4 linked regions of the Cricetulus griseus genome follow. The protein of the gene in region 1 interacts with the protein of each later gene in a pairwise test. Links are inferred from orthologs where the notes say so. Each region holds a gene or a part of one and is shown in the gene's direction. Other genes may lie near its edges.

The links.
Region 2: the proteins of Gpr25 (region 1) and Creb3l1 interact in binary tests that used the Homo sapiens proteins (3 or more experiments, as listed by UniProt). The two-hybrid records come from large-scale screens. The link is inferred for Cricetulus griseus from reciprocal best matches to the Homo sapiens genes GPR25 and CREB3L1.
Region 3: the proteins of Gpr25 (region 1) and Vapb interact in binary tests that used the Homo sapiens proteins (3 or more experiments, as listed by UniProt). The two-hybrid records come from large-scale screens. The link is inferred for Cricetulus griseus from reciprocal best matches to the Homo sapiens genes GPR25 and VAPB.
Region 4: the proteins of Gpr25 (region 1) and Kash5 interact in binary tests that used the Homo sapiens proteins (3 or more experiments, as listed by UniProt). The two-hybrid records come from large-scale screens. The link is inferred for Cricetulus griseus from reciprocal best matches to the Homo sapiens genes GPR25 and KASH5.

What each region holds. Positions count from the first base shown.
Region 1 is NC_048598.1:53,012,909-53,019,656, forward strand, and holds Gpr25 (probable G-protein coupled receptor 25), read left to right. Parts: upstream 1-3,269; coding exon 3,270-4,352; downstream 4,353-6,748. UniProt on the Homo sapiens protein: Orphan receptor.
Region 2 is NC_048599.1:84,747,681-84,755,140, forward strand, and holds part of Creb3l1 (cyclic AMP-responsive element-binding protein 3-like protein 1), read left to right. Parts: intron 1-1,650; coding exon 1,651-1,838; intron 1,839-3,754; coding exon 3,755-3,833; intron 3,834-5,752; coding exon 5,753-5,910; intron 5,911-6,461; coding exon 6,462-6,611; intron 6,612-6,746; coding exon 6,747-6,805; intron 6,806-6,939; coding exon 6,940-7,008; intron 7,009-7,460.
Region 3 is NC_048599.1:5,228,137-5,235,322, reverse strand, and holds part of Vapb (vesicle-associated membrane protein-associated protein B/C), read left to right. Parts: intron 1-2,341; coding exon 2,342-2,422; intron 2,423-3,994; coding exon 3,995-4,171; intron 4,172-6,399; coding exon 6,400-6,558; 3' UTR 6,559-7,186. UniProt on the Homo sapiens protein: Endoplasmic reticulum (ER)-anchored protein that mediates the formation of contact sites between the ER and endosomes via interaction with FFAT motif-containing proteins such as STARD3 or WDR44.
Region 4 is NC_048599.1:154,083,601-154,091,060, reverse strand, and holds part of Kash5 (protein KASH5), read left to right. Parts: intron 1-1,130; coding exon 1,131-1,197; intron 1,198-1,419; coding exon 1,420-1,581; intron 1,582-1,961; coding exon 1,962-2,079; intron 2,080-2,299; coding exon 2,300-2,350; intron 2,351-7,460. UniProt on the Homo sapiens protein: As a component of the LINC (LInker of Nucleoskeleton and Cytoskeleton) complex, involved in the connection between the nuclear lamina and the cytoskeleton.

The sequences.
Region 1 (6,748 bases):
CAAAATAGTCAGCCCATTGCCCCCCCCCCACACACACACACAGTACAGACAGAAGAGGCCTGTGAGAGATGGTGTCAGAGAAGGCTCCAGGGGTCCCATGGAAAAAGGGCCAGCCACTTCTATTTAGCCTCTCACACTAGTCAGAGAATCGGCAACACTCTGGGCTGGGAAAGATGAATCTTTCAATTGGCTAACTTGTTTGTATCCCTGTGGTGAGTCCTCCTGGGGGGCATAGAGACAGTAGTCGGCCACACCTCACAAAGCAGCCTGGGGGCCACAAGTGTCCAGGGCATTGTCCTTCACTCTGGCCTTTGCTAGACAAGCTGGAAAAAGTCACTGTGCTTGGGCCCCAGCAGAGAAAATCCACCCTATGTGCTCAAACAGACTTCCCTGGGGTATGAGACCACAGCCAGGAAGCACTAATCTGTGTTTTTTAGTAAACAACCTACTTCTACTTCCCCTCTGCCCCTTGCTCCCCTCCCCTCTTGGCAGCTGCCCCCGGTCTGCCTTCTCCCTGCGGTGGCTTCACTGTTTGTCTCTAGCTTTCATGATCACTCATGCTCTTGGAGCCCTGGACTGAGATGTGCCAAGTGGTAAAAGTTCTTCAGGACTGGGCCTGGCCTCTGGCTAGGCTCTGCCCCACTGGTCTTCCAGGGAAGGAGGCTGTGTGTAGCACCGGGGCCGACCAGAAGGTAGACACAGCACACCAGCATCATGTGGGAGCCCACAATGAGATCAGCCAGGTTCACTCCCTGGTCTGACTACCTTTTCCCGGCTTGTAACTTTAAAAGCTGTTACGATTCTTTAGTGCATGCGTGTATGTGTGTGGGCATTTGTGTTTATGGCACACACGTGTGATCAGACGACTTGCAGAAGTAGGTTCCTTCCTTCTGCTATGTGGGTTAGGGGATTGAACTCAGGCTCCTCGGACTTGGTAGCAAGCGCCTTTACCTACTGAGTCATCTCCTCAGCCCAGGGAAAAAATTCTTGGCAGGAACAGACTAGATATGTACCCCAAGCTCTGCACGTTTGACCTAAGGGGTAGATTTTGCAGGGTAGAAGCAGGCCCTTTCCCCTTACATAAAGGCAACCTGGCTACACCCTCCCTCTCTAGCTTAAAAACCCTTACTCTATGAGAACTGGATTTGGACAGAAATGCGAACTCATCTAGCTCCATCCCACTTCCCTACCCGGGTAGGGAAGTGCTCCATTTATCAACAGAGACTCAACCCAGGGGTATCCCATAGCCCAGTTTGCCCACAACAGTACTGTTTGCTGCCTTGCTTCTTTTACTCTCAGTTGTCTTGGTTTGGATCATAAATTACCTCATCATCCTACTTCCAGTCAAAGCCAAGCGGGCCATACACACAGCTGCCCTTCTGTGCTCTGGTCCTTTAACCACAGAGACATCTTCCACACTCTTCCTCAGAAAGAGAAAGCCCAGGCCTACCTCAAATCCTTGCTGTGGGGGGACCTGTACTGATCCTGACACTTCCTCTCCCTTCTGTCCCTTCTACCAATGACTATGTCAGGAGCTGGGACGTGGCTCAGTGGCAGAGCACTTGCCTGATGAGGGGGAGACCTTGCCACCTGCAAAATAAAATAATAATTGTCTATTTCAGTCACAAACACAACAGCTGGCGGTGGAGTCCTGCCAGGGTTGTTACATATCAGATGTACACCCGAAGCTCTTCAGGGGCAGGCACAGGGACAACTGCCAGTTTCATCTGTTGTCTGCTCGCTCACACTCCTACACTCCTCCCCTAGGCTCCCACAGCCTGCAGTGTCTTCCTACTGTCTCAGTGTACTTGCTTTTCTATCTCCTCCTAGGTTGGCTCATCCTCTCTATTCTGCCATTCTTCTTGGCCCTTATCCTCCTCCTAGACCTGACCTGAAGCACTGCCCCTCAGCAACACTTTCCTATCAGCAGTATGGCCCTTGCTTCTAAGCACTAGGAGGACTTTGTTTTAAGCATGGACCACGTTTTGACTGATGGCATGTTGGCCACTGCACACACGACCTGTCTCTCCCCACCTCAGTATTCTGTCTGAGGTCAAGAGTGCATTTCTTGAAATGCAAAGAACAATGCCTGCCACATGAAGAAGTCACTGTTAATGGAATGGAAAGGAACAAAACTGACAATCCAGTCCCCCCCCCCCCAATTTCCAGGGTTGCTCAATGCATCAGTCACTCATTCTTGGTGACAGCAGAAGTGACTCTGGGAAGGCATTGTTAACATTAGTTCCAACACAGCCTGTCAAGGGATGGATCTGTGTTAAGAATTTGTGTGTAGCTCCTTGAATAGAAAGCACGTCTTCCCTCAGCCACCCTTGCCCCTCCTCTTGCTATCCCATGCAAGTTGACATCTTGCACACCTTTATCCACGAACCTTCTCCTTCCCCTATGTTCACAAGGGGTCTCTGAGTTCCTACCTCACGATTTAGAATAGCAAATCTGTTGTTTTGTTAGGGGCCATTTTGGGTCATCTTTTGTAAGAGGTTAGGCCCCTGTTTGACTTACCAGCAAGGTTTTGAAGGATAGGGACGGAAGAGGGTTAACCCAGGAACCTGGGCCCTTTCCAGCAGGGGACTCCAACTAGGACTTCCCTCTCTAGCGTTAACCCTTCTGCACTGCTCTGAACCAGAGCAGAAGTGCCGCTCCAGGTGACACACCTAGACCTTTTGGTCTAAGAGTTTGCAGGGGAGAGGGGAGGAGGCAATTCTTAATCAGGAATCATTAGAGGCTGCCTCAACCTCTAGGCCTCCTCTGTATGCTACCCAGCAGAACAAATTAGAGACAGAAGATGAGGCATTGTCCTCCTTTAGAAGCCCTTTGTGCCTGGTCTGTCTCCTCCCCTCTAAACACTAGGAAACAAAAGCAACTCCTGGTGAGAACCGAGAACAGGTTAGAGTTCTAGGGCACTCATTGCCCCTTGAACCCCATATTAAACCCCCCCTGGCCCAGATAATAGGCCAAGCACCCAGAAGTGATGAGCCATCAACACTGAGTGGCCACAGGTCTCCCAGCCCTAAGGACATCTCCTCACAGTTACCAGTCCAGCCCCAACTTGGAAGCCACCATTTCCACCACAGAGGTCTGCCCCTCCCGGCCCACACTCTTCTCCCCCTCCACCTTCCTGCTCACCCCTTCACCTCGGCCTGGGGTGGCAGGAAGGGAGGTGCTGGGCACTGGCCGTGAAAAGCAAACTCCCTTCTGCTCAGAGAGAACTGCACTGCTCCAGGGTGCACGCAGGTCCAGTGACCCTAGCCATGCAGTTCACCGAGGCCTGGAGCCACAGCTGGGGCACGACGTCCTGGGACTATTACTACTATTCGGGCTCTGGCTCCCTGGATCCAATAGAGCTTTGCCCGGCCTGGGACCTGCCCTATGGCCACGCCATCATCCCTGCGCTCTACCTGGCGGCCTTCGCCGTGGGTCTGCCAGGCAACGCCTTCGTGGTGTGGCTGCTGAGCGGGCAGCGCGGGCCCCGGCGGCTGGTGGACACCTTCGTGTTGCATCTTGCTACCGCCGACCTGGGCTTTGTGCTCACACTGCCACTGTGGGCCGCGGCGGAGGCCAGGGGCGGCCTCTGGCCCTTCGGCGACGGCCTGTGCAAACTCAGTAGCTTCGCGCTGGCGGCCACACGCTGCGCGGGTGCGCTGCTGCTGGCTGGCATGAGCATGGACCGCTACCTGGCTGTGGGCCGGCCGCTTAGCGCGCGGCCACTGCGGAACCCGTGCTGTGTGCGAGCCGCGTGCTGCGGCGCCTGGACTGCGGCGTTCCTGGCCGCTCTGCCCGCCTTGCTGTACCGCGGGCTGCAGCCCAGCCCCGACGGCGTGGGTAGCCAGTGCGCCGAAGAGCCGTCGGATGCGCTCCAGGGCCTCGGCCTCCTGCTGCTGCTGCTGACCTTGGCGCTGCCGCTGGCTGTCACCCTGGCCTGCTACTGCCGCGTGTCGCGCCGCCTGCCGCGCGTGGGGAGGGCCCGGAGCAATTCGCTGCGCATCATCTTCGCCGTGGAGAGCGTCTTCGTGGGCTCCTGGCTGCCCTTCGGCGTCCTGCGCGCCATCTTCCACCTGGCGCGCCTCCGGGCGCTGCCGCTGCCCTGCGAGCTGCTGCTGGCGCTGCGCTGGGGTCTGGCTATCGCCACCTGCCTGGCTTTTGTCAACAGCTGTGCGAACCCGGTCATCTACCTCCTGCTGGACCGCTCGTTCCGCGCCCGGGCCAGGTTCGGGGTGTGCACGCGCGCCGGGCGCCAGGTGCGCAGGATCAGCTCAGCGTCCTCGCTCTCCAGGGATGACAGCTCGGTGTTCTGGGGTCGGTCCCCAAAGGTGAACTCTGCTTCTGCCTGGTAGCCTGGTGCAGATGAAGCGGCCGGGCCGCGGAGTTCCAGAGAGAGACGAGAGGGGACGGAGCTCCAGAGAGACGAGGGGGACGGTGCTCCCAGATGCGCCCCGGGGACTGTCCATCAGCTTTCTCAGAGCTGGCTGCTAAGACTGGCTGTTCTCGAAGGCAGGCCAATTGGTGTGGGAAGGGTGGGCGTGTTTCCTTAATTTTCCCCAGGGCAAGAAAGGCTGTAAACACCCACCTGGAGAAGAGCTGGTTCTGCTCTAGATGTGAGGGAAGCGGGTTTTCCTCTCTGCTTCATTTAGTAGCTCAACCCAAACTTCCAACCCAGACTCTAAAAGGCCCTTCTTGTCCCTGACTATTCTTGCTCCTGCAAAAGCCTTTGCCCTCTGAGAAATTTTTTTCTCCGTGCCAGTCCTCTAGCAATGCCACCTCAAAAATGTTCGGTAGAATGAGAGGAGTGACAGCTCTCTTCGCTCTGGTCATCTTCGAAGCTGTATTGCCTGAATCCTTTCTCATCCCCAATTTGGTTTTTCATTTTCAAAGGCTCACCCGGGAACCAACCCCAGTGTGAGCTACCCAATTTGGTTCTTCCCACCTGTTCCCTCAGAGTACCTACCCTGCTGTGGTGATCCTTCTCTCCTCTGAAGAAGCCTTCTGGCCTTCCTTCTGATTGCTGGAATCTGAAATTTTTAGTGGGTGCTCAGATTCCCCATCGCTGAGCCAGGGACCCCAGGTTCTTCTGTGAGCTCACATCTCAATAATAATAATAATAAGAAGAAACCATTTGTTAGCCGTAGTTGGCAACTGTTTCTTGACTTGAACAGCAAGAGTGAAATGGGTGTCAGAAAGTGCGTCTCACAGTCAGACAAAATTCAATTCAGAAGTTGAGGTACCTCAGGGTGATGGTTTGTGTGATGTGGGGATGGGTTGAGAGGACCAGCTGCACCTGTGTCAGTGTGGTACTCCCAGGAGGGCAGAGAACTGCTTATTCTTTTAAAGACATCTCACATATTGAAGGTTGCAAGATGAAAGAGGAAAAAAACTGAGGGTGTACAGCATCTGCCTGCCAGGTGTCATTTCAAAGAAGAGATGTGTAATTTTGATTTTTAAATGTGGTCCAGGCTTTCCCCCATTTTCTGGGAGCCCTTCCAGTACAAATGTTTGGAATTAACCATTTCAGACTCTGGTTTATCCTTTGAGGCTTCTGGAAGGCTTAGAAAGGAAATGTTTTTAGAGGAGTTGGCCAAGAAACGTCTTGATCGGTGAGGGAAGGTGATTCTGTGATCAGGCTGTTCCTGAGAACCACGTCTGCACAGACTGTGGATTGTGTAGTAGCCGCAGAGACTGATGCTTCCTTGCTAGGTTAGATCTGGAGACGGGCATCTCTCAGGATGTTTAACTTCCTCTCTCTTCATCTAGCACCACTGTGTTCCCTCTAGCATTTGAGACTATTGGTTTGGAGTACGTTTAGCCCCACAGCCCACCTTGACCCCACCTTGCAACTGCTCTTGTCAAAAACAACATCACTGCATGTCCCCCTTGAGTGACAAGGCTTGCAGCCTACGGGTTACCTGGGCCAGCAGCAGGGTGTACTTCAGGTATATTCAACTCTGAGGGCTTGTTTATTTCATAGTCCTTCCTGTCCTCCTATTGCTTTCTGAGGTGAAGGACCCAGGGCTTCCAGAACAGGGGCACTGACCCTAGTGTGTGTCTAGACAGAAGCTTACAGAGCAGGTATTGCTCTAGGCTAATGGGACAGAGCTCCCCTACAAGTTCCTCTCTTCTGTCTCAGCCGAGCTCCCTGAAGACAGACAGACAGACAGAAGACTCTTCAAGCCCATGGGAAGTTTTCATCTCCCCTCCTGCAGTGCTTACCGAAAATTGGCGTCTACCACAGCATAGAACTATGCACAGAGAGAGGAGTTCCCTCTCTTCTGGTGCTGCACTCAATTGGGCTCCGTGGAGGATGAGCCCCCACTTCCTGGTGAGGGAGACCAGGTATGGATGCAGGAACTAATAATAGGTTGTGGAGGGAGAGCAAACTAGATTCTTTTATAAAGCAGTTGGGGGAGGGAGGCTGAAGAGATGGCTTAGTGGTTAAGAGCACCGACTGCTCTTCCAGAGGAACAAGGTTCAATTCCCAGCACCCACATGACAGCTCACAGCTGTCTGTAACTCCAGTTCCAGGGGATCTGACGCCCTCACACAGACATGCAAGTCAAAAAAAGAAAGCAGCTGAGACATCTTCATCAAGAAATCTACAGATGTACATGTCCCGGCCCGGTGGTGGTGGTGCACCTCCATTCCCAGCATGAGGGAAGTAGAGGAAGGTGAATCTCTGTGAGTTTGAGGCCAGCCTGGTCTACAGAGTAAGCACCAGGACAGCCAGGACTGTTACACA
Region 2 (7,460 bases), on another chromosome or scaffold:
TAGAGTACTCACATACACAAAAAAAACCCTACATAATAAAAAATTTTTAAAAATCTGGGGCTGGGGCTGGAGAGATGGCTCAGAGGTTAAGAGCACCACTTGCTCTTCCAAAGGTCCTGAGTTCAATTCCCAGCAACCACATGGTGACTCACAGCCATCTATAATGAGATCTGGTGCTCTATTCTGGCATGCAGACATACATGTAAGCAGAATACTGTGTACATAATAAATAAATAATTTTTTAAAAATCTGGGGCTGGAGAGATGGCTTATCAGTTAAGAGCACTGGCTGCTCTTCCAGAGGTCCTGAGTTCAATTCCCAACAACCACACAATGGTTCACAACCATCTATAATGAGATCTGGTGCCCTCTTCTGGCGTGTAGGCAGAACATTGTATACATAATAAATAAATAAATCTTTAAAAAAAAATTTAAGTATTGCAGATGGCCGGGTGGTTAAGAGCCTGTGCTGCAGGAGACTTGAGTTGGATTTCCCAGCACCCATGTCAGTGGCTCACAAAGCACCTGTACCTCTGGCTTCAGGAGATCCAATGCCCTCTTCTGCACACACCTGCTCTTTTGTTTGTTTGTTTTGTTTTTTGAGACAGGTTTCTCTGTATTGCTTTCTCTGGAACTCGTTCTATAGACCAGGCTACACATCTGATCTTACACACAATTTTAACATAATAAAAATAAATCTAAACTCATGAGTCCCAGCATGTTCAAACCCCTCTGTGGCTCCTCATCACTTTGGGATAGAGGTACAGCTCCAGGACAGCTCCCAAGGCCACGCCAGCTGCTAACCTTTCTGATTCCACCGTACTTGCCCAACTGTTGCCACGCTGTTCGCTAGGGCAGTGTTTACTGAATACTGATAATCATGTTAACACTAGTTACTGCTTAATGAGCATTCACTTCTAGCCAGGCACTGTACTTAGTGTTTAAAAGCATTATACTAGTCATTCTTGAAACCTCCCAATTGGGTCTGTCCTTTTCATGTCCTCATTCTTTTCCCCATATGTGTTTGTATTGTGTGTGTGGGTGTGTGTGCGCGCGCACACACATAGAAATGGATGGTAGGTATCTTCCTCAGTCACTCACCCATTATTTTTTAAACAGGGTCTCTCACTGAACCTGTAGCCCACTGATTGGCCAGACTGGGTGGCAAGCAAGCCCTGAAGGTGTTCTTGTGCCCATCCCTCCATCACTGGACTGATAGGCATACGCTGTTGCGCCCAGCTTTTTATATGGGTGCTGGGGATCTGAACAAAGGTCCTCATTCTTGCACAGAAAGACCTTTTCCAGACTGAGCCGTCTCCTCAGCCCCCCTTTGCTCATTTTAAAGATGAGGAAGCTGAGACTCAGAAAGGGTCAGCCACTTGCCTAAGGTCACACAGCGAGTCAGGGGAGGTCTAGATGCTGTGGCCAAGCCTATTTGGTGAGCATTTAGATACAAAGATGCTCTTGCTACTTCTGGTTCCAGCGGACCCATCTCACTTCACCAGAGTGCCCCAGCTTTCCTGCCCATACCCAGATGGGCACTCTGACATCACTCCTCTGTCAAGGGTACTCGCCAGCAGGCAGAAGTTGGTCAGAGCTCTCTGCTCTGGGAGCCCCTAACCTGAGTCCTTCCCACTTCACCTTCCCCCAGATGTGGAACGTGGAGCGTGGGCACTGGGACACAAACTGTGCTCCATTATGGTGAAGCAGGAGCAGAGCCCAGAGCTGCCTGTTGACCCTCTGGCTGCCTCATCTGCCATGGCTGCTGCTGCTGCCGCTATGGCCACCCCACCACTGCTGGGTGTCAGCCCCATCTCCAGGCTGCCCATCCCTCACCAGGTGAGCCTAGGGACCACTAATGGGGCTGAGGGAGGGAAGTAGGCTGAGGGGAGACAGAGGGGAGTGACACCCAATGTCCTGGACTCCACTCCAGGGCTCCATGAACTGAGAACCTTGGGGACTAAGGTCCTCTGCCTCCCACACTGACCACCCCTTTACCATCCTCCAGTAGGCACAAACAGCAGTGCCCACCAAGCATGCTGGGCCCTCCCTGCATGCAGAGAAAGCTTGAAGGGCACCAGGCAGGACTGAGGTTAGTTTTGAAGTCAAGATACCCCCCACCCCGGGGGTACTTCCTTTCCTGTTAAGTTTCAGGATTTGGAGAAAGATGAACATGTAAATGCAAAAAATAGTGTTATATTTTAGTCTGTATTTAGATTAATAAGCTGCACTCATAACAAACCCTACGTCCACTTCCAGAGTGTATAGGGAACCTCACATTGCCTTCTCTCTTTTTTCTTCAGCTTCCTTCCATGTAAAAGGTGCAAGCCACAAGGCCTAAAATTCTATAGCTTAACAAACAAACAAACATTAATCCCTAGGCAGGGGGGTTGCCTCCTGCTGACCACCTGGGTTCAAAGTAAGCAGTCTTAAGCAAGAAAGGTCACCCTTCCTGCTCCCAAGGTTCCAGGGAGCTGATTGACAACCAGCTACATCCTTAGGGATTCCAGAACTGGCTTAGCTAAAGTCAGGGGGAGGAAGGGATCACAGTGGAAAAGGAAACGGAGGCTCCCAGGAGTTAAGCCACAAATCACAGTCAGAAATTTCGAAGCCGCTTTCCAAGTTTGGTCTGTCAGACCCTAGAGTGGAGGGTTCCCACTATAACCAGTGCAGGCCACTGGGGCCAGTCTGTAGAGAGCCATATGAACCACTAAAGTGCCTCTGCCACTCTCCATCACAGTCCCCTCATCTGTAGTGCTGACACTGAGCTGGGTGTAGACCAGGGTATGGCCAAGTTCCTGGACACCCAGCACTATCCCTGATTCTTCCTCATTGTTCTAAGTTCATCACTCTGTCCCTCACACAGTGTAGTGATCTCTGCTACCAGCAGACCCAGTGGGGAGAGACAATCCCAAGAGCCACAGCCTCCTCACTGAGATCACCATTAACGGGCATGTTGGTGATGTTCACATGTACAAAACCACACATGTTCCTGAAGCCCTTTCTAGAACAATACTTTGGAATTTAAATAAATAAGAATGTACATCTGAGCTGGGTGGTGGTGGTGCTTGTGCCTTTAATCCCAGCACTCAGGAGGCAGAGACTGACGGATCTCTGTGAGATCAAGGCCAACCTGGTCTACAGAGCAACTTCCAGGACAGCCACGAAGAAAAACAGAGAAACCCTGTCTCAAAAAAAAAAAAAAAAATGTACATCTGTTTTCACCTGTGCCTTACTTGAAACCCCTCAAGGGCTCTCACTGCTGCAAGCTTCCTTATATGTACTCGACTTCAATTTGTGTCCCAGGATCCATGTCATGTTTCAACTTTCTCTGAGCCTTAGCCAGTTAATTCCTCCTGAACTATTCTTCTCATTCATCCAACAGTTAGAGTGAGACTAACATGACCTCCTGTGCTCATGGTAACCACATACCAAGGCCTACATGGCTTTCATAGTTGGTGAAGGGGCAGCCTCTGTCTACCTGGAAGCTGGCATGGCCCCAGATGCCACAGGAACTATGCATACCTCCTGAGATCCAGTTCTCACCTACAGTGTGTAGCCACCTTCTCTGCTCTTGGGTGTAGTATGGCTTGTCTAAGCATAAGAACTTGCCTCTCTGTTCTTTCTGGGCTGAGCCCAGGACTCTTGAGACCAGCCGTTGTTCCAAATATTCCGGAGGGAGGGAGGAGTGTGAATGACATGATGAGGATTGTTCCCCTGGGCAGGTGATGGAGCTGAACCTGTCTCTTCCTCAGGCCCCAGGAGAAATGACTCAGCTGCCAGTGATCAAAGCAGAACCCCCAGAAGTGAGCCAGTTTCTCAAAGTGACACCAGGTAAGTATGTACAGGAGACTCTTTCTGATCCCAGACAGGCACTCCCTCTGTCCAGACCACGCCTGTCCCTCAGAACTCCCACTTCGCTCCCAGATGTTCTCACCTCCCCAGTAAATGAGAATTCTTTAGCTATCTATGCTCCCTCTTTTTCCTCCAGTCTTTCTCTACCCAGTCTTCAGCTGCCATCGTTCTACCAACGCCAGTCCATTTGCTGATCTTCTAACATCCACTCACAAACTGAAGGCCACTTTATAGTCAGTCATCCTTCCTTCCATCCATACATCCATCCCTTACTCAACCATCCACTCATCTAACTATCCATCCACCCATCTACCCACTTATCCATCCAAATATCCGTCCATCCATCCACCCATCTGTCTATCCACTTATCCATCGATCTATGAATCCATCTCTCACTCTACCACCCACACATCTATACATTCATCTACTCATTCACCCATCTCCACATTCATCCATTCGTCTAACTAACCAACCATTTATATGCCCATATATCCATCAAACCATCCACCAAATATCCATAAATTCATCCATCTACCCATGTAACCATCTACCTAAACACCCACCCGTTTATCTATCCGTCCAACCAACGTTTATTGGGTACCATCTTAATTGTTCCAGGCATTGCCAAAGCAAAGAAAGAAGACAGTCTCTGTACCCGAGTAGATCACATGGTTCCTAGGGTCACAGACTCAGCAGTGATATGGGTGTGCAGATAGCAAATCCACAGGGAGCCTGTACAGCTCATTGGGCCGAGGGAGCATGGTCAGCTTCTGTGAATTACTGGAATGAGAAAGGGTAGCAGAATCATTCCAATCTCACCACATTAATTTGTGAATACTGATTCAACATCTATATACATGTGTCAAGCCCTGGGCTAAGTATTGTAAAACTGGACATATGAATAAGATACTGTTGGTGCTTACATGTTGAAGAGCAGCCAGAACACAGACAAGGCGTGAGAAAGAACTTGTGTTAAGTCACCTCGTACTGTGGAGTTCCTAAAGCAGTTCCCCCACTTACCAGCTCACTGCACCCTTGCGGCTTGGAGCTGACTTTTTTCAACCTTATTCAGTAGATGAGGGAAGTGAGGCTGGGGAGCTCACCAAGACCACATGTATTGGAGTCATTACAGTCAGAACTTGATCTCAGGTCTGTGGATTCCAAGCCCTTCATTCTTTTTGGAGTGGGATCCATAAGAGACACACAAGCATCAGAGGAAGGAGAGAGGCCTGATGTGGGTGCCAACCTGCGCCAAACCCTCCACTCCATGGCCATGGAGCCCAGGTTTCCACACCTAGAGCTACCTGGGAGTTATGTGCCACCCCCAGAACTTTCCCAGCATCTCTGCTAGCTGCTGAGCCTGAGACACCTCTTTCTGATGCTTGCTCAGTGTCAGTCGTCCTGCTGCTCTAGCCATGAAGGGGACGGTGTGGAGGAGGAGCATCACTCCTCACCACTCTGCTGCAATCCCGACACCTGCCATCCTGTTCCTGAGATTGGATCAGTATTTTAGAGTCAGAGAAAGGAAAGGGTAAGGACTGGTCCACCTGAGCCCGGTGGATCTGCGTGGGGACCTTAGTCCCCTCTTGGCTTAGAGAGAACCTGAATCCTGCAGAGCCACAGGCAGGGAAGCATATGGCCCAGGAGCCCCTCATCGAGGTTGCAGGGGGCTTCCTCTGAGCTATCAGAGATAGGCAGTACTCAGCCGTCATCTTTTTGTGTGCCAGATGTCTTCCTGGGACTGCCAAGGGCCTTCTGATACTCCAGCCGAGGTTAAGTGCCTATAGGCACATTCCTTTGGTGACAGGGCTGGCACAGCTCATGTTCAGCTGAACTCAGTGTCACACAGACACAGGGTACAACCCTACTATACTAACCTAGCCCTCTACTTTTTGCAGAGGACCTCGTACAGATGCCTCCAACACCCCCCAGCAGCCATGGCAGTGACAGTGATGGCTCCCAGAGTCCTCGCTCTCTGCCCCCCTCCAGCCCTGTCCGGCCCATGGCCCGCTCCTCCACGGCCATTTCCACATCTCCGCTCCTCACTGCCCCTCATGTAAGCACCTAGGGGTGGGCTGACCCTGGAGGTGAGATAAGGAGTACGTTCAGCTAGTGCCATGACCAGTGAAGGGGTCAGGATACCCCACATCTGATACTTATCCCGTTAGATACAGGGAGATGCCCTTCTGGCAAGTAAGGGGGCATTTTTCACTTCTGCCTTGGGATGACTAGAAATCAAAGGTTCCAGAAAGGCCTAGAAGCCATACTGTCATGGAGCTGAGAACCTGACATTTCTGTACTCTGGCAGTGACCCAGGCTATCCCCAAGGAGCACTGTTTGGGGGCAACATGGAAAGAGACCCAAACCCTGAGGGCATATCCTAAATTGAGATTATGGGGAGGGACCTGTTTCCGAAGACCTGGGGAAATGAGAGCACGGATTCTAGTATAGGGCGGGGAAGGGGCCTCCCAAAGCCCCCCTGACACTCGATGCATGTTACTGGGCTTAACTCAGATGCCTCCCCTTTTCCAAGGGGGAACCGAGGTTCAGAGAGCTGAGTACACAGTAGTGCTCAAATTCGAACCCCAAATTGCCTGTTTTCTTCAGAAACTACAGGGGACATCGGGGCCACTGCTCTTGACAGAAGAGGAGAAGCGAACCTTGATCGCTGAGGGTTACCCCATCCCCACCAAACTCCCCCTCACCAAGGCTGAGGAGAAGGCCTTGAAGAGGGTACGCAGGAAAATTAAGAACAAGGTAAGACTAAAGCCATCCCTACCCTAAGACTCTAGGGACCTCTGTTGCCTGGTGACATCAGTTCTAAAATTGGGGACCACCTAGGAAGTGGATGCATGGCAATGGTAACCCTTGCTTTGGAACTTCCTTCTTTAGATCTCAGCCCAGGAGAGCCGTCGCAAGAAGAAGGAGTATGTGGAATGCCTAGAAAAGAAGTGAGTGTTCCAGAATGGGCAGAGTGCTGTCCTTAGTCAGAGGCCCAGCTGCAGGCAGTGGGTGGCAGTAGGCGGAGGGCAGGGCCAGTGAGTCTGTGGGGAGGCCTTCAGCCTCTGCCTGCTTGGCCTTCCAGGGTGGAGACATATACATCAGAGAACAATGAGCTGTGGAAGAAGGTGGAAACCCTAGAGAATGCCAACAGGTGAGTGGTACCCCCTGTGTCCCACCTATCCCACTAAAGATGGTGGCTGACTCTGGGAGGCAGGAGAGAAGAGAGAGAACCAGGTCGGAATGATACTCCAAAATGTTCCCCAGGACTGTCCTGCCAGTCGCCGGCTTCCCAGCTGTCCTTCACTGCACATAACTCTAGACATCTGGCAGGCTGGTGAGATCTTAAGAAAGACTATACAGGGCAGAAGCTCTCCAGATGTGCTCCACAGCATCTGCCTCTCAGCCTGTTAGAAATGCTTTTTCTCTCTCGCAGGGCATGTCAGCTCATGTCCTTAGTCCCAGCACTTGAGAGGCAGAGGCAGGCAGATCTCTGTGAGTTCAAGGCCAGTCTGGTCTACATAGGGAGTTCCAGGACAGCCAGGACTGCATAGAGAAACCCTGTCTCAAAGAAACAAACAAAAACAAAAAATGCTTATTCTCGGG
Region 3 (7,186 bases), on another chromosome or scaffold:
CCGCTTCACACCCTACAGCCCTCTTTACACCCACAGTCTGCTTCACACCCTACAGCCCTCTTCACACCCACAGTCCGCTTCACGCCATGCTCTCTAATTGCCTTCATTTCCATTCCCCCTTCCCCTATATGAGTACATGTTTGACAGTGTCTCGAATTTTGGTAAAATTAAGATGCCCCTGTTTTTATAAGTAAACAATATTTTTTTCTTCTGGAAGAAGAGTGGCAATTCTCCCCAAAGGTAGTGCTGCCAGTTGCAGCTCTGCCCAGCGGGCAGTGGTCCTCAGAATGTGGCCAGCCCGTAGATGGCAAAGGTATCAGGGATGTTCTGTGCCAAGCTTGTCTCCTGCCCTTGTCACCATGTAGCCTTTGTTTTGGGCTTCGGAGAGCAGAACCAGCTTCCTTCATTGGTGCCTGCACCTTGGGGGCAGAAAGAGAAGGTTAAGTCACGTATTGAGCTGGAGCAAGACCTTGTCATAAGACTAACCCTGGAGACATTTCTTTGCCCTTTCATTTCCCGACTTGTGTTGTGTTAGTCTGTGTGATGAAGGGAACACATGACAGGCACTGAAGGTAGACGTCTACAGGCTGTGCCTTTGGTCTGGCTTCCGCGGTGGTGTAGCTGAGAGGGCAAGGACGTGGCTGTCCTGATCTGAAGCAAACCTTTACTAAGGCTTTGGTCTGCCTTGGGCAGGTTGTGTTGATTGTTCTTGAGGTTTTAGCAACCTGCGAATTGGGAATAAGAATGCAGTCCATAGAGTTTTGAGGAGAGTGTGCCCATGTCTGACTCTTCACCTGAGTAATTAGGGGCCAGATGCTGCAGCTTGATAAAGGGGCCTTCTGTTTCTCAGCAGGTTGTTTTTGTAACTGTTTTAAGTGTTTGCACAGCACATTTTGTAGGGCACTGTCCATGACCACCTGAGTAAAAGCTGATTTGGATGGAGGTGACTGCCAGTTCTCCCACACCAGGTCCAACTACTGGGAGAGCCTGTGTTGCCCTTGAGCTGACAGTGTGCAGGAAGCTGAGAGCAGTGCCTTGTTACCTTGGCCTCGATGTCTTGTGTGGGCATTTGCTACTAAGCTGTCAGAGACTTTCCTGTGCTAGCTGCCTGTAGGAGGAAGGTCACTGACTGGCTACCCTGAGCCCGGCAGAGCACAGGCATTCTTCACTGACATAGAACTAACTGTGTGCAGTTGACAGTGAGCTGGGGTTGTCAATACCCTAAAGAGGGCAATCCCATGCAGTGCTCTGAGCACTCCAGAGTGCCCGTTGGGTATTTCAGCAGAGGAGTTTCTTCCGCACCTTGGGTTTGATGGCTTTAGGGTCCAGGTCATGTGGCTTGGAGCATGAATCTTACCTCTTGGATCGTCATCATTAAATTCAGATTCAGATACGGGGGTACAAGAGTCACCCATACTCAGGTGATGTTACTGCTTGCTAGCTAGTCTTGTTCTTGGTGCAGTTTGATGAGCTGGTGCAGGTGCTGCGGAAGTCTGTCTGCCCTGTGGCTTGTAGGCAGTTCTCAGAGACTGTTGTCACCAGCCACTAAGAACCTGGAACTGGTCCTTGCATGACCCCCTCTGACTCACACATGGGCACACATGCACAGTGTGGCATTGGCGTGTTCCTGTGTAGCTCAGTGCTCTCAGGTGTCCCGTGAGTGTTAGTGTGCCATCCTGTTGACTGCTTCTGCCATGGTTAGGGTGGCAGTGCTGTGGTGCCAGAGAAATCGATTGCCCTAGCTGCTATGCAGGGTCGGAAGGGTGAGGGTGGGTGCCTCCCTTTTCTCAGTTGTCACCTTGCTGCTTTGCTGACCTGTCATTCTCAACCCCTTCCCCGTGTCTAGAAGGGGATATTAGTGAGGAACCTAGCCCTCACTGGTGGGTGGGGGTGGCGTGGGCAGGGCCATTCTGATGCAGTAGTGGAATGGCTCTGTGGTGAATGGGCCCCACTGGTGGTTGACTGGTCAGCCAAATCCTCCTCCTCCAGCTCTTTAGGGAGTGGGTACCCTGTCCTTTAGATTCCAGTTCCTTAAGGAGAGAATGCTTCCTGGACCTGTGCTGCCCATGAAGTAGAAACAGGCAAGCTTGGGCAGGCGGCCCTAAGGAGCCAGGCAGCAAGACTGCAGGGTTTGCAAAGTGTGATAAATATTCAGGAGAGCGAGTGCATTTAATCTTGTCATGTTAAAAATATTGAAGTCTCAGCAGACTTAAGTTCTTTATTTGATATACATCAGGGCTTTCTCATTAAGAGTATTTTTCTGAAATTGTCAGTTATAGGAGGAGAATTATTCTTCCAGCAGCTTGATAATACCCTGATTATTAAATTTAAATTGTTTTAGTGGAAGGAGGCAAAGCCGGAAGACCTTATGGATTCAAAACTTAGATGTGTGTTTGAATTACCAGCAGAAAACGCTAAACCAGTAAGTATGTCTCCAGTTAACAGTAATCGAACGTTGCAGGCAGACACTCATTTGCATGCCATCTCCTGTGAAACAAAGATTTAAACTGGCAAATTATTTTCCTCCCTCTAATGTATGAAGGAAAAAAATCAGCTGAAGTCAACAGATAAGCTGGTATTATAACATCAACCTTGGCAAAGACTTGCAGAAAATGGCCAACTGAAATAGTTTCCCCTTGAGCAGAGTAACCTGTTAGCAGCTGCAGTCAGAATCCCAGGGAGTCTTTGCTTGGTGAAGTGGGGAGACCAGAATGGGGTGATTGGCCCTTTTTCAGGGCGCTCAGACAGGTGGTAAACTCTCAGAGCATCCTGTCAGTATTCCCCTCAGCATCTGCTCCCCACCAACTCCCTCAGTGCCGGTCCTCCTTGAGATGAGAGTCTCTTGGCCTCACTGTTGTTGGCATGTGTTTACATCCTGTGCCGTGTGGGATATTGAGCACCGAGCACCCACTGTCCCAGACCCTGCTCCCTAGACACTAGCAGTACCCCCAGATTTTCATGGAGGTTGTTACACATCTACTGCCCCAATCTGGGCCCTCACTGGGGACCAGCAGAAGACAGGAGATGGTTTTTCAAATACTGATGTACACTTCCCTTCAAAGTAGCCGGAAAAGGTAAAATTGTGTCAAGAAGTAAGAACCGTGGGTGATCTTTAGGTCTCTGCCAGTGATGGACGGAGCTGGGAAGGCAAGGCACGCTACAGTGTCTTTACACATGACTGTGAGGAGCCCAAGAATGCTGTTGGTTGCTGTCAGAACTGCCTGGTTTCTTCTGCTCTATCATCAGCTACAGCCATCTCTGGTTATTTGAATCAGAGAGAACATCACCCTGTTGTAGGAAAGTTAGAAGCAGGGAACATGGATCATGACCCCCAGCCCCCTGATAATTGGGCTCCAGCCTGGACTCTGGCCTCCAAGGCTCTCCCTTCTGTGGGAGGTGAAGGGGGCTGGAACTAGGTGTCTGATTTTCAGATTGCCACCCAGAGCCTCAGGCCACCATTCTGAGTGCTCCTAGCCCTGCTTCCACTGACTGGCTCATCCTCCAAGAGGGTACCATGACTCCTTTTATGCAGGGGAACACATTTGGCCTTCAAAGCTTGTTCGTCCTCATCCCTGCTTGTAAGGTGGTCCATGTGTAGTCCTCTCTAGGCCTCCTACCTCCCACCCCCAGCGGCCTGGGATGCTCAGCTCTCCTGCAAAGGTAATTTGCAGCTGATAATTCCTGAGCTTGCACAATTGCAGTATGTTAATTTTTGCATGGCAGGAATTTGATAGTGCAGTGTGCACAGCCCTTTTCTCCTCCTTGAAGTATTCGCCTCAGCCCAGCTTCATTATTTGCCCTTATCCATAGTTTCTAGGGCCTGGTAGCTTTAGATTATCAAGATACTAGATAAAGTGATGCATTTAAAAAATAAATGTGACATTTTACAGTGTGGATGGAATGCTACCTCATGTACTGTGTACTGAGAAATACTTTGCATAAAATCCTTGCTCACATAGTTGGTGACCCTGGGCTTTCCTTTGTTTCTGAGCAGCACGATGTAGAAATAAATAAAATCACACCTACAAGTGCACCCAAGACAGAAGCACCGGCAGCTGCCAAGTCCCTGACGTCGTCCCTCGATGACGCCGAAGTGAAGAAAGTGATGGAAGAGTGCAAGCGGTTGCAGGGGGAGGTGCAGAGGCTGCGGGAGGAAGGCCGGCAGCTCAAGGTAACGCCTGCTCGCCCGCCCGCTCGCCCTTGCTGAGCAGCTTCTGTGGGCAGTGTGGGTTTGGTGTGCTGTTTTGCATTTACTTCCCCAGGAGACTCACCTGCAGAGCTTTCTTTTGGGGCTCCTGAAAGGGTGTTTGGATTGTACCTGCCCAACTGTTGTTTTCCTCAGAGCCAGACCCATCCCCACTCCATTTGTCTAAGTTGAGCCAGCTCTTTGAATATTCACTGTCAGACCCCGCTTTGGCCAATCCCTTGGGTGGTCTTGGTTGGGGGCCAAATCATACTATATATTTTTTTAAGATTTTATTTATTTATTATGTATACAACATTCTGCTTCCATGTATATCTGCACACCAGAAGAGGACACCAGATCTCATAAGGGATGGTTGTGAGCCACCATGTGGTTGCTGGGAATTGAACTCAGGACCTCGGGAATAACAGTCAGTAATCTTAACCTCTGAGCCATCTCTCCAGCCCCCATGCCCATACTATTTTAACACAGGGAAATGAGTTTTGAAACCTCTGATGTGGGTCCGGGCAGTAGAAGCTCCTCAGGCTGCTTGGTAACAAGAAAGCACGGTGTTGGCCCAGTAGAGAGGTGGAGGTGAGAAGGGGGAACCAAGGCATGCATCTGGCCAGGCTGTGCTGGGGAGGTCAGACACCCTCAGCCTAACAACCTATGTTGCCGGCTATACAGTTTGCATACAGTCTTGTCCACTCTAGGCCCATTTCTTAGGCCTGTTTGTTGAGTGTCTCTCCGGTTGCCTTCTAGCTTGAGAACTGTGGATCTGTCTGTCTTGGATGTGGATATATACCCGGGCATCTGATTATAGGAGCTTTTGTTGCAGCTTAAATTTTGAGGCCTATTTGTTCTTAATCTTGATGATGCCAGCCAAGCATGTAATAGGTTTCCCCTCTTTGCCTGCTGTGGCAGCAGATGTACACAGCACACTCGCTTAAGCCAACTCCCCTGCACCCCAGCTCTAAGGTAGATGTAGGAGGGTGACAGTTTGGAAGTGGCCTCAGCGTCTTCGTTTGCAAAAGCTTCTCTTTGAGTGCGTCTCTCCTCAGAAATAGAGCTCTGCACCATTTACAATGATCTATAGGTCGGGATAGCTTCTATGTAAACCCAATAAAATAAATGCTGTATTTTGCTGTGCCCATTTTTTTAAAGTTAATTGAACACTGCAGCTCGTTCATCACCGTGCTGCGGTGCTGGCCTTGCCCATGAGCAGAATATCTCTAAAATAATATCAGAGCCATCTTGACAGGGGGGCATGCTTTATCCTGCCAGACATTGGCTTCTTGTTCAGTGAGATCTGCCGTGTGCCAGGCGTCTCGGGCTCAGCTATGAGCAGGCTACCCTGGGGAGCTTCCTGTTAGTGGGGCTGAGGGAGAGACGAGACAATGATGGTTACAGCCCATGTCCTTAGTGGGCCCACAGAGAGCTGCAGATCATGGGAAGACTGCACTTGGCACTTGGCAGATAAGGAAGTGGAGGGGAAGGGTGGAGTGTCAGCTGTGTGGGAGGCCTCAGCATGGAGCGGCCTGGCCTGGCCCTGCGGAGCTGTGGCGCTCGGGAAGGGCACTGGAGGATCCTGCAGGTCCTTCAGGCAGGGACGGTGGAAGACAGATACCTCGGACCTGTCTTAGGGGTTTGGTGGGGGTGGCCTGGCAGCTCTCTTTGGAAATGAGAAGCCATGAACTCGTCGTAAGGTATATATAGTGGGCAAACGAAGGTTTTCTCTTTACCAGCTGTGGCAGCAGTTGCACACAGTATGTGTTTCCAATTCCAAGGGTTATTTGATTCGGTAGTGCACCTGGATCTCTTGCCAGGCTCATGCAGGTCCTCCACTGAATAGTTGGTTGTGGTTTGTGTCTTGGGAATACCTGGGATTTCAGGCAGAGATGAGTTGACTGGACATACTTGTAGGCTCAGGACAGGCCAGACGTCAGATCTGGAGGTAGGCAGAGAAGAGGTCAAGACATGGCCAAAGAGCCTCTTCTCCTCCCCCCTCAAGAGCTTTTCCCATTGTTCATGGGAAGCTGAGAGTGCATTTCAAGTTGGTGGTAGCAGAGAGCCAGCAGCTCTGGTAGAAGGAACACTGAGTCCAGGAGGGTCCTGGCAGTGGCTTCTCTCTAGGCTTCCATGTGCCTTTGCATTGTGGCTGGATCACGTCTGCCAAGCCATGATGTGCTTTTGAAATGTGCACTTATTCCCCCTAGGAAGAAGACGGGCTCCGGGTGAGGAAGGCGCTGCAGAGCAACAGCCCCATGGCAGCTCTGGCTGCCACCGGGAAGGAGGAAGGCCTCAGCGCCCGGCTGCTGGCTCTGGTGGTTTTGTTCTTTATCGTTGGTGTCATTATAGGGAAGATTGCTTTGTAGAGGCTGCATGCGAAGGATGGCAGATTGGATTGATGGATCCACCACATCATGGGATTTAAATTTATCATAACCATGCGTAAAAAGAAATTAATGTATGATGACATCTCACAGGTCTTGCCTTTAAATACCCCTCCCCATGCACACACAAATGCACACACCAATATAGCATAATATAATGATCTTTTAGAATGTTAAAAATGTATAGTAAATGGATGGGGGAGAATGGTCTGTTACTGAGGGACATCGTGATTAACCACAGTGGCATATTGCAGCTGTCACATTAAACTCGGGTAGGCCTTGGCACATGTTCCTAGATCACCCCTCTTAAAGCAAGAAGCTCTCCCTCACATGTTGGGGCTGGCCTGTGGGAGCAGGAGCCCTGCAAGGGAGGGTGTGCTGTCCCCTCCACAGCCTTCTCATGCTGCCTAGTCTCTCCCAGGCAGCTTCCCCAGGCCTGCTGTTCTGTCCAAGCCATCGGCTCCTCAGGCATGCAGAGCTACAGAAGCCAAAACACATTGCATGGTGGCCACTTCTTGTGTCCCTGTAGGTCATGAGTGAGAGACATGAGTGGACCGACCGACCCAACACTTAGAAATCAAGTCTGTGCTCTGTTCTCTTAAAGGGACCA
Region 4 (7,460 bases), on another chromosome or scaffold:
GCAGGGGTCAGCAGGGGGGTTAGCAGGGACCTCTCATCTACTAATTCCACACAGCAAGGACTAAAGAGACAACTGGGGCTTTTGCTCAGCCTGCAGTTGTGGTGGATTTCTGGGACAGTCCCCTCATCCTGGACTTTGGGGTCAGGTTTTCCATTCCTTCCTCCTAGCTCCAGCCTTTTTGTAGAGGCTGAGACTGCAGCTTCCTTGCTCTCCAGCTGAGGGGCCCTAGGGCACCTACAATATTGAAATCTTTGCATGGCTCAGGGCAGTCTTGGCCAACTAGGCTCCTCCTCTTGGCCCTGCCCACCCCTACCCCCACACACCTTACACCTGCTTGCCTTTCCATGACAGCTGTATCCCAGCCCTATGCTAGGGCACTGGGTGCCCAGGACCTCACACCTTACAGGTGTACCACTAAAAAGTGCCTTACAGAACCCAGACTGCAACCCTCTTGACATTCTCTTTTTGTTTGGTTGGTTTGGTTTCAGTTTGGGTTTTTGTGAGACAGGGTTTCTCTATGTAGCCCTGGCTGTCCTGAAACTCACTCTGTAGACCAGGCTGGCCTTGAACTCATAAAAATCACCCTGTCTCTGCTTCCTGGCTGCTGGGATTAAAGGTGTATTCCACCATGCCAAGCTCTTGGCATTCTCTTGAACCTTGAGGCTTTTTCAGTCTTGGGGGTCAGGGAGGAATATGAGCAGCAAAGGGGCAGGCCAGGTCAAGTAGGGAAAGACAAAGAGAGAAAGGAGGCTTAGGAGGAGGCTGGGGAGTGCCCAGGGAGAGAGAGTATGGTAGAGTGAGGGTGAACGTGGCTGGAAATAGAATCAGACTAACTGAAGTCCAGCAACTGGCAGATGATGAGGGCCTGAGAAGCCTGAAGACTTGAGGGAAGCTGGGAACGGGAGAAGAGGGCTTGGGGAAGTGAAGGTGCCCCTCTGAATACCTGGCTGAGCCCCAGGCAAGCATAAGCAAGAAGCCTATGTAATAAGAGTAATTCAGCCCAGGGAACCCCAAAGCTACATATGGAAAAACTGGGATGCCAGAATCCTGGGATAATTCGTGGGTCCTTTGACACCCAAACTTTTAAAGTCACCGGAGAGTCTAACCTCCTTTTGTCTGTGTCTTTCCAGCATGCCCAGAAGCAGAGGAGCCAGCCAACTTAGAGAGCTTTGGAGGAGAAGACCCCAGGCCTGAGGGGTGCTTGTCCTCCCACCCCCATCCCACTCCATCTTCTCCAGCCTATCTGGGGCCTGGGAGTGGGGAGACTGATGTCTTTTGGCTCTGGACAGCCTTGGAATTTGATTCTGATTTGTCTCCAGAGGAACCCTTGTCCTAGTTGCCAGCACCTGCTCCACCTAGGAGGAGACTAGGGGGATGAGAGCAGGAGCAAAGTTGGTGACCAGGCCCTTCTGCCCTCAGGCCTGCCACAGCTGAGCTGCTGAGCAGCCTAGAGGACCTAGAGCTCAGCAACCGCCGCCTTGCTGGTGAGAACGCCAAGCTGCAGCGCAGCGTGGAGACTGCAGAGGAGGGCTCAGCACGCCTAGGAGAGGAGATCTCAGCCCTGCGCAAGCAGCTGCGAAGGTGAGTAGCTATCTGCCTTGCTACCAAAGAGCCTGGGCCTCAGGTACAGGCAGCCACTCCACTACCCAACCCATGTCTTCCATTCATTCCCTTCTATCTGGGTCTTGTCGTCTAGCCAAAAGGGTCCAGTCTGACTGTCACTTGCAGCTCTTGTTCTCATTCTTTCCCCCCTTCCTTTCTTTGCTGTGTGACCCCATGACCTCTTCCTCAGATGAAAAGTGAACACTGTCTCCACCCCACACTGCATGCTCCCTGTCCCTTTCTCTCTGTTCCCTGTGCCCCTCGTTCCAGCTTGTGTCTGTCATAGTCTCCCCTCATAGTCTGGGATGTTTTGCTCTGCTTCTCTGCCTGCCTCCTCTCACATCTGTGCCACCCATCAGCACCCAGCAGGCCCTGCAGGTGGCCAAGGCTTTGGATGAGGAACTAGAGGACCTGAAGACTCTGGCCAAGAGCCTGGAAGAGCAGAATCGCAGCCTAATGGCCCAGGCCCGGCACACAGTGAGTGCTAGTAGGGTATATCTGGCTTTAGCAAAAGGGCAGAAGTGAAGGGGCAAAGGTTACCTACTTCCAGGTCTTGTTCACCCCCAGGCCCACCTGCTACCCCTCATGAGCCCTCAGCCCAACTCCTCAGTGATAAAGGCCCTGACTGTATTCCTTGTTTAGGGAGGGTGATAGGGTGGGAACTGGAACTGATTCTATCCTCTCTGGGATGGGTCAGGAGAAGGAGCAGCAGCACCTGGTGGCTGAGGTGGAGACGCTACAGGAAGAGGTAAGCTGAGGCTCACCCACCTTTAAGGGTTCCTGCACCTGTCCTGCAGACCAAGGGGGCCCAGGGTCCCACAGGCTGTGTGGTATTCCCTGGGTTCGTGTTGAGGCTCTGGCCAATTCTTCCCTTGTCTGCATTGTGGTGCCTTCACAATCAGGGGAGCAAGCCAGTGGCTTCACCACATGGGGTAGTGTGAGGTTTAAACCAGAAGATGCCTAGAAAAGTCCTAACTCAAGGTAGGATATGTAGGGTGTGCACAGTAAAATCCTGTAACCTGGCATAGTGTTCCATGCCTTTCATCCCAGTATTTCGCAGTCTGAAGCAGGAGGATTTTGAGTTCAAGGCCAGCCTGAGCTATATAACAAGACTGTAAAGAAAAAAAATGTCAGGTATCATTTATATCAGTGTGCTGGTTTGATTCCTGGCAAAGCAAATGAAACTGCAAAAACTTATACATTTATTAAGCATAGGTTTGGAAGTTACCTGCAGAAGCATGATGGACCACCTTCAGGCCTGTGACTCTTCCCTTCCCCTCTAAGCTTTAGTTTTTCATTTTGACAGTGCTGGAGATGGAGCTCTGGGCCTTGGGCATGCTGGGCAAGCAGCCGCCAGGCCTGGGAGCCACAGCAGGAGCCTGCACAGCTGGGTTGCAATAATTGTGAAGTGATGGTATTTACCTGAGGGCCAGCCCCTACAACCCAGACCTATTTAGGTCCCTGTTCACTCGGAGTTCATGCCCACATTGAAACCCATCAAGTGTTAAATGATATCAATGCCATCCCTCCTCCCTCGAGGTGGCAGATAAGTTGCAGATCCATGATGGGTTCATATCCCAGGCAGCATTGGTCCTCACTTGACCCCCATCCTCTACTTAGCTTTCCATGGGGAGGCCAGAATTACCTTCAAATCTGGGCTTAGCCCTTGCTCTACTTGCTGATGCCTGTCTCCTCTCTGGGCTGTGGCTTTAGCTCAGCCTCCCAGGGTCACCTGGGGGATCTGGCTGCTTTCCTGCGAAAGCACACAGCTGCACCTATGTGGTCTCCCTCTGCTGCCCTACAGCAGTTCTGGGTGAGTGGGAGGGATGCTCACTCAGAATCAGGTGTCCCCTGGTTCCCAGGTCTGTCTCTGCCCCCTTGTCAGCCAGGGCTTTTCAGCCCCAGCTCCAAGTTTTCTGCCTGTGTCTGCAGTGGGCTTTTTACTGAAATCCTAAGTCTCTCTTCACTGTTCTGTGCCTCCTCTGTGAACTGTTATCCCCCTTCCAGGGCAATGGGAGCCCCTGGGCAGGATGGCTACTACATTCAGTTGGGGTAAAATATCTTGTAGAGCCTGGCGTTGGTGGCGCACGCCTTTGATCCCAGCATTCAGGAGGCAGAGACAGGCGGATCTCTGTGAGTTTGAGGCCAGCCTGGTCTACAGAGTGAGTTCCAGGACAGCCTCCAAAACAATACAGAGAAACCCTGTCTCGAAAAATCAAAACAAACAAAAGAAAATACCTTGTAGAACATTTTTTTAAAGAATTTAATTTATGTCTGAGTGTTTTGCTTGTGTGTATGTCTGTATACCATGTGAGTGCCTTGAGTGCCTAGTGCCTTTGGAGACCAGAAGGAGGGTATGGGATACTCTGGAACTGGAGTTACAGGTGGTTGTGAGTGCTGGGAATTGAACCTGGGTCCTCTGGAAATACAGCCAGTACTCTTAGCCACTGAGCCATTACTCTAGCCCCCAGAGCATTTTTTTGTTTTGTTTTGTTTTAAGAATGAAGGAGAGCCGGGCGTTGGTGGCGCACGCCTTTAGTCCTAGCACTCAGGAGGCAGAGGCAGGGGGATCTCTGTGAGTTCGAGACCAGCCTGGTCTACAAGAGCTAGTTCCACGACAGCCTCCAAAGCCACAGAGAAACCCTGTCTCAAAAAAAAAAAAAAAAAAAAAAAAAGAAGAATGAAGGAGATCGGGGCTGGAGAGATGGCTCAGAGATTAAGAGCACCGACTACTCTTCCAGAGGACCTGAGTTCAATTCCCAGCAACCACATGGTAGCTCACAACCATCTGTTTGGAGATCTGGTGCCCTCTTCTGGTGTGCAGATATATATGGAAGCAGAATGTTGTATACATAATAAATAAATAAAATCTTAAAAAAAAAAAAAAGAATGATCTAATGTCAGCACTTAGGAGGCAAAGGCAGAGGCAGGCAGATGTCTGTGAGTTCAAGACTAGTCTGGTGTAAATAGTGAATTCCAGGGCCCTGTCACAGATCACAGGTGATGGTTGTCCTGTTCCCTGATGTCTGCAGCACCAGTGGGCTGCAACATGCCAGCTCCAAGGGAACAAGCCAGTTCTGCCCAAAGCAGTTTCTGGTCTCTGGGTTATCTGGTGGCTCAGTGGCTTTTTCTTAATTATTATTGTTTATTTATGAAAGTGCTGCTCTGTCTGCATGTATGCCTGCACACCAGAAGAGGGCACTTGATCTCATTAGTAGATGGTTGTGAGCCACCATGTGGTTACTGAGAATTGAACTCAGTACCTCTGGAAGAGGAAACAATGCTCTTAACCACTGAGCCATCTCTCTAACCCTGTTTGTTTTTTTTTAAGTGATGGTATGCTGAAAATGGAACCCAGGTTCTGGCATGTGTTAGGCAAGCAACACTGAGCGATATCCCCAGCCCTGGGTTTTTTGTAACAGGGTCAGATGGTGTAGTATGGACTGGATTTGAACTCCTAGTCCTTCTGCTTTAGCCAGGTAAGATCTGGGACTGTAGGCAAGTTCCTGCATACCCAGTCTCTTACCAGTTTTTTGTTTTGTTTTGTTTTTCCTGTTTGTGGTCTCATAGTCGCAGATGACTCAAGGCAGATGGGGAGGCACCAGCCCCCCCCCCCACACACACACACACTCCTGTCTCTCTATCCCTTAACCACAGCTGGAAGAGAGCCTGGGAGGATGTCTTACCTTCAGCCTGGAGCTAAGATAGTCAGCAAGGTGGGGTTGGGATAGCTGCTTCTTTAGCAGGCAGGTTTCCTTGTCACTGCCCCAGGGCATGCAATGCAAGACAGCAAGAGTCAGCCCTGTGAACCAGCCACCAGCACCCCTGCCTCCTGCCCCAGGCCCAATCTATGCCCTCAGAGGAACTTCCTGGGCATGCTAACTCCATAGCTAGAGCTATTCTCAGCTCCTTGCTGGCCTTCTGCAGCTACCCACTGAGATCTAGAGATTGAGATCTCAGGTTACAGCCGGGCCTGGTAAAGTAATGGGACACTCAGCCTCCAAAGGTCTGGCTGCTGGCTGAATCCCAAAAACCCACAGCCTGTGCTTCTGCAGAAGGCTGCAGGGTGCTTTTGGGTCCCACCAGGTGGACAGGTGTTGACACAGCACTCCCAGCTGTCCTTCCTCTGCCCTTCACCCAGCAGCAGCCCAGACTGCTGAGTGAGAGGCACTGATGACCTGGAGCAGGAACAAGGCTGGAGACCAGAAGAGGTAGCCTCTGTCTCCTAGGGCTCTGGAGAAGGATGAGGTGTGCCAGACTTCAGGTATCCGGAAACTTGGACTTTGAATTGTCATATTCTGGTTGGTTTGTTTTTTGAGACAGGGTTTCTCTGTGTAGTTTGGAACCTGTCCTGAACTCTCTCTGTAGACTAGAGTGGCCTTGAATTCACAGAGATCCATCTGCCTGCCTCTGCCTCTCCAGTGCTGGCACTTAAAAGTGTATGCTATCACCACCTGGCCTGTTTTTGATTTTTGAGACAAGGTCTTGGTATGTAGCCCAGGCTGGCCTGGTACTCAAAGCAGTCCTCCTACCTCAGCTTCCCTGGTGTTGAGATGATAGGTGTATTTCCTCACACCCAGATTTGGGCCATTTTATTCTTAGGTCCCACTGGGCAGCTGTTGTGGGTGACTATTCCTGACCTCATTGCCTCCCCTTGGAAGGCTCAGCCCAGGCACTACCTCTTCATCAAGCCCGGTGGCTGTCCCACCACCCAGCTTGGGCCTTCTCAGTGAGCCTTAGGCTAAGCACTCTCTGCTTCTCCCTTGTCTCTCCTGTGCATCTTGTGGCTAGAGCACCACTGCTTCTCAAATGTCTTTTGTCACCCCAGGGCTTCATCTGGCCCCCCAGAAAAGGTTGAGTATTAGAAGTGGCACTGGGCTAGGTGGTGGTGGCGCATGCCTTTAATCCCAGCACTGGGGAGGTAGAGGCAGGTGATCTCTGTGAATTCAAGGCCAGCCTGGTCTACAGAGTGAGTTCTAGAACAGGCTCTACAGTTACACAGAGGAAACCCTGAGGGGGGGGGGGGAAAGAGGCAGGGCTGGGCATCACACAGATGGGATGGCCTTGCCAAGTATTTTAGCATCTATTCAGTTTCCTTTGTAGAGCTGAGAGGAAGGATACTATTAATGGCTATACAGCCACAACACCGTTCTGTTACAGAGCCAATGTAATGTGGACAGTGCGAGCCCTGGGTCTCCCTGCCTGCCTGCTGGCAGGCAGGGAAAAGGGCACATGTGGCACATGTCAGCACGTGTGGGTGCATATCAGCACAGGAGTCCACATCTGGGGGCATCCAGCCTTGTGTAAAGTCTGCTGTGTGCCAGCCATAGTCTCCATGCTCATGCTATTTTGTTGCTAATTTTGAGTTATGGTTTTGCTAAAGGAAATAAGTTGTCATGAGTAGGTAACACTGGTGTTGTTCCAGGGGAAATGGGAGATCTGATTTAAAATGACTGAATTAGACAGGAAGGCAAAAGAAGAAACCAGAATATATTTATTGCAACTGGGCATGAGGATTAAGTGTAATGGCCCATACCTGCTGAAGCAGGAGGACCACAGGCTCAAAGCCAGCCCAAGCTACATATTGAGTGAGTGAGTGTGTGTGTGTGTGTGTGTGTGTGTGTGTGTGTGTGTGTGTGTGTGTGTGTGTGTGTCTGTGTGTGTGTGTGTCTGTGTGTGTGTGTCTGTGTGTGTGTGTGTGTGTGTGTGTGTGTGTGTGTGTGTGTGTGTGTGTTCTGGGCTCATTATACTTACTTTTAGTTTTGTATGTTAGGGAACATGAGTTTAAGTATCTATAAACATTTATCTTTAACATTTACATCTGGTACATGCCAGCTACAGTTGACTCTGCTCTAAAT